2 linked regions of the Solanum lycopersicum genome follow. Each later gene encodes a partner of the first gene's protein in a complex. Links are inferred from orthologs where the notes say so. Each region holds a gene or a part of one and is shown on either strand. Other genes may lie near its edges.

Region 1 (2,643 bases):
ACTCTTTTGACTAAAGGATGTTTTCCTGAAGCCATATAGTAAAAAATCTAAAATTAGATTAGAACATTGGTGTTAGTTTCCCTAAGAGACTTCACATTTTCATATGTTCTGTTGTAACCTCAAAGGCTGAGATCTTACTTTGTCGTCATCTGGTGACAGCTCAGGTTCAACGTCTTCACCAGCAAAATCACAGTCGATATCAATGTCAAGAACTAACTCTTCTCCTGGAAACTTTGAGAGCTCAATGAGCCGACCTTTGAGGCTTTCAGAAATTTGTGTTGCTGCTGAACATGCTTTGCGGAGTACAATTTCTGATGCAGAACTGTGGAAATCATTGTCTTCTGTCCAGGAATTTGAGGTTCCTATCTTCTCTCAGGGCTATATGCGTACCTTTGAATAGTAATGGTTCTTGGAATACAGTTCTGTATACTACTTGTGAATAGGCATGATACCACTAATTGGAGTTCTGCATATATTTTATTTAATTGCTTGTGAATTGGACACCTTGACATGCATTATTCAGCAGCAGATAATCCTTTGTATTTATGTAGAGTCATGTTTTGTTTTATATTCTTCATTCTTTATGCAATTCTAATCAGTTTTAATCTCAGCAAAAATACCTGGAGCTGTCAAAAGGAGCTGCCAACAACTATCATCGTTCATGGTGGAAGAGGCATGGAGTTGTACTTGATGGTGAAATTGCAGCTGTGTTCCATAAAAACAGAAATTATGATCTTGCTGCAAAATTGTATGAAAAGGTTTGTGCTCTTTATTCTGGTGAAGGATGGCAGAATCTTTTAGCTGAGGTCCTTCCCAATTTAGCTGAGTGCCAAAAGGAACTTGGTGATCAAGCTGGCTATCTATCTTCATGTGTAAGATTGCTCTCATTGGATAAAGGATTGTTCTCCAGCAAGGAACGTCAAGCATTTCAGTCTGAAGTGGTTCGTCTTGCTCATAGTGAGATGGAGAACACCGTGCCTCTAGATGTGTCCTCACTGATAACATTTTCTGGCAATCCTGGACCACCACTGCAGCTTTGTGATGGAGATCCTGGTACGCTCTCCGTCGTTGTATGGAGTGGATTTCCTGATGACATTACTCTAGAATCACTTAGTCTAACTCTCACAGCCACAACTAATACCGATGAGGGTATTAAGGTATTCTGTTTACTCTCTATAGCATCTCCTCAAGTAGTTTTTAGAAACTGCATCTTCTAGTGCAATAAGCTTTTATGAGCTTTTTCTCAGGCAATAAAAAGATCCGGTGAGACGATATTAAAGCCTGGAAGGAATACAATCATGATCAATTTACCTCCGCAGAGACCCGGTTCTTATGTTTTGGGGGTTCTTACAGGGAAAATTGGTTTACTAAGTTTTAGATCTCACAGCTTTTCAAAGGGTGCTCCTGCAGATAGTGATGATTTTATGAGTTATGAGAAGCCAACAAGGCCAATCTTAAAGGTAAAGGATCTTTTATATAAGTGGAGAGACGAAAAAATGAATTGTGAAGGCTGGGATGTGTATTCCACAAGGAAGAGTGCCATCCTTCGTTTCTATCCTCAAATATTCTTATTGATTCTTTTGTATGCTAATGCTCTACAATTTATTATACAGACTGATTATCTGAAATCTTTCTCAAAAAGAAAAATGATCTTTCTCAAAATGATTATCTGAAAGGCCTTCTATATTTCTTGAACTTTTTTGAAAGGTGTTCAAGCCAAGGTCTCTGGTTGATCTTACTGCTGCTGTTTCATCTGCTTTATTGATGAATGAACCTCAGTGGGTTGGAATAATTGTGAAGCCAATTAGTTACTCTCTCAAGGGTGCAATTCTGCACATAGACACTGGTCCTGGGTTGACTATTGAAAAATCTCATAATATTGAAATTGAGAGGCACGTAATTGGGCGCACAGATGAGTTAGACCATTCTGAAGGTTTTAAAGATGATGACAGTTCCGCAGCTACTCCCGAAGTTAAACAAATGTCTCTTCATGATGGAAATATTGAGCTGCCTGATTGGGCAAGCAACATAACTTCTGTTTTGTGGATTCCTGTGCGTGCAACCAGTGATGAACTTCCTAAAGGTGCTCCTGCAGGTGATGATTAATAAACTAGTGGTGGTTTAAACAGCATAGTCACAGCTCCATAAATCTGTTTTTTCACTTCCTAAACACCTGTTTTACCTATCAGGTGCAGTTGCTCCGCAGAGACAGAACCTAGTGGAGGGACTGAGAACAATAGCTTTGAAACTTGAATTTGGGGTGTCACGGAACCAAATATTTGAAAGGTTAACCTTCCCCACTTTTCATTTCCTACTTCTAATTTTTGGCACATTTTTATGCATATTCTTGTCAGTAAGACTAGTCTGGAATCTAACTTCTTTGCAGGACAATTGCTGTGCACTTCACTGACCCCTTCTCTGTAAGTACACGAGTTACGGACAAAAGCGCTGATGGAAAATTGCTTTTGCAGGTAATCTTTTTCTGCCACTAATGTTTGGTGGTGACTTTTTGGGTGGATGGGGCGTGGGGGTGAGCAGTTACAGGCTAGAGAAGTCATTTTCTCTGTTGATCAGTTGGTTATTTATAAGTATTTTGGATGTCAGGAGTATGTAATAGAAATAGAGAAGAAAAATAAGTGACAA
Region 2 (2,373 bases), on another chromosome or scaffold:
TAACAAAAAAATTGGCAGGTAAATAACAGTCTAAATCATGAACCTCAAATGACTGACTAAAGCATGAGGCTAATACATTTCAGAAACAAAACGGAAAGTCAAAACAAATAAAATCTCATCCCATGCTGCAGAATGTTCTCTTAACTAAAACTCTCTGCACGTAATCATGTCATGATTAGTGACCAACTAATTGACATCCTACACTTCCATCATTTTACATTGTCTTTTAGTATTGTACAAAAATATTCCATGTATACCCACGGTGTAAGTTCTATCTTTGTTCCCAATTTCATGGCCAATATTTGATTTGGTCCCTAACATTTATCTCTCTCAATTTCATTCTAAACAAATATGATTCTCATGTTGTTGCAGAAGCTCACCACCAGCCTGACTGACTCTTTCAGATTGCAAAAACAAGTGGTTATGCAAAAAAATTTTAAAAAAAAGTCATATCAACATCCATATCCAAATCCACATGCATTGTGTACATTCTGAGTCATATGGAAACAAAGAAAAAAGAAAGGACCCCTCATAATTGATGGGAAAGCAACACAAACAAGAGGGGCCCTAGAGAGTGCAGGGACTTTCCCAGCTTGTTGCACTAATATATGTTCGTAGAACCAGGATGCAGCATCCCAAGTTCACAGTGTTTCATTTTCCTAGTCTATCACCTAACCTCCAACAATCAGTATTTGAATGCTCACCCGCATAGTGGATCAGCAGCACAGGACTGCATCCATCCTTGACTTGCCTCCCGGTGCTTCCAGATATGTTCTTACTAGGAGCAGCATCCGGATCCAAAAGTCCAAGCTGCCAAGTCTTTAAAGTGACAGGTATTCTCACTTCAGCACCGGGCTTCAAAGGAAGGGATGACTTCAAGGTTTCATAAACAATTAACTGGATTGAATCTTGATTTTTCCCAGATAATGAGATGTGGGCTTGCTCTATCGGAACTGTACCTGCATTGGCCACACTTATCTGTACTTCACGAATCTCTCCTTCATATAAAATTATAGCACCATCACTACCCACAACACGTGATATAAGCAATGGCAACGGGGGGACCACCGAAATATTTGGAATCGTAACATTTTTCAACTTTGGTGACCCACAACAGCGGAAAGGGTCAGACAGCACAAGTCCTTGAGCTGCTCCCACTAGAAGATTATCCACATCCTTAAAATAATGTTCAGTGATAACACCAAAACAATGAACAATGCATCCTGGAATTTTTAATGAACCTACTTCAGTAGGAATTCCAGATAATGCAATCACTTTGGAGGAATTAGGAGGCAGACTAACACTGATGGGAAAAGCATCAAAATTCCCAGAATTTACAGATAGATATATACTATCGACCTTCAAATCAAAACCACAAGGATTTGCCAACTCAACAAACACTTGTACTGCTTCACCCACAACCCAAATCAGCTCCTGCTTACTGCTTTGACTTGGCTCCCCTTTGCTGAAAGGTGTGTAAATAAAAGGTCCTGAAGGAGCAGACCCTGCCCACCAATCATCTCTCCCATGATTACGTTTTACTATATCCTGTTGGGAGGAATGAAGTGGAAAAGAATGCAACCTGGAGCATATGTATCAAGGAAAGGAAAATTAGGTTCTTGTCAAAAATAAGAACTCTGATGATAAGGTCAGCAATTGCAGACACCATAAAACCAGTATCAGTCTGAGGAAAGAAATAAGCCAGCAACTGCAGATACCATAAAATCTAGAGTATCAGTATGCGGGAAGATCATTCTGAAACAGCAAAACTAATAATAGTAAAATCTGAAGGAACTATGAAGATCGAACCAGATTAAATTTACTTCTTTCTAGAGAGACTAGTGAAAGAAGTTCCAAATAGTCTTTTGCAAGTTTACCACCATTAGTAATAGTATGTTAGCTACAGGAATACATTAAAAGAATAGTTCTTATGATAAAAAAAAGGTTATTCCTGATGGAATTAGAATTCTTCTGATTTTATGAGCTTATCAGTAAACTCCTAACTATATGCTGAAGATATGGTCAATACATGTATTGGCCTTCAAACAGGTAATTTGAGCATCTTTCAGGCATGATCTAGTAAGTAATGTGCAATACAATAAACGCTGAAGTACAACCAGCCTTTACAAAGGCAATTTGATTATCTTTCAAGCAAGATCTAGTTAGCAGTGTCTAATACAATAAACCATGAAGAAATACCAGCATCACCAACATACTTCTGATTCAGCATAGAACATTTCACTCAAAATTTACATATACATGGATGCTTGGATTGGAAACTGAAAAGAATGAAGCAACAAAGACAACTACCATATCGTTACATCTTTCTGAATTGGTAAGCTCAGTTCATTTACTCTACCTATTTCCTCCTTT

The links. Proteins that work in one complex are often made in the same cells at the same time.
Region 2: trafficking protein particle complex II-specific subunit 130 homolog (region 1) and trafficking protein particle complex II-specific subunit 120 homolog share a complex: the UniProt entries of both Arabidopsis thaliana proteins name them as parts of the multisubunit TRAPP (transport protein particle) II complex. The link is inferred for Solanum lycopersicum from reciprocal best matches to the Arabidopsis thaliana genes CLUB and TRS120.

What each region holds. Positions count from the first base shown.
Region 1 is NC_090806.1:68,363,662-68,366,304, forward strand, and holds part of trafficking protein particle complex II-specific subunit 130 homolog, read left to right. Parts: intron 1-159; coding exon 160-358; intron 359-611; coding exon 612-1,157; intron 1,158-1,247; coding exon 1,248-1,460; intron 1,461-1,707; coding exon 1,708-2,095; intron 2,096-2,189; coding exon 2,190-2,286; intron 2,287-2,386; coding exon 2,387-2,471; intron 2,472-2,643. UniProt on the Arabidopsis thaliana protein: Specific subunit of the TRAPP II complex, a highly conserved vesicle tethering complex that is required for the proper transport of proteins in post-Golgi trafficking pathways to the growing cell plate in mitotic active cells.
Region 2 is NC_090805.1:43,730,619-43,732,991, reverse strand, and holds part of trafficking protein particle complex II-specific subunit 120 homolog, read right to left. Parts: intron 1,583-2,373; coding exon 705-1,582; intron 1-704. UniProt on the Arabidopsis thaliana protein: Specific subunit of the TRAPP II complex, a highly conserved vesicle tethering complex that is required for the proper transport of proteins in post-Golgi trafficking pathways to the growing cell plate in mitotic active cells.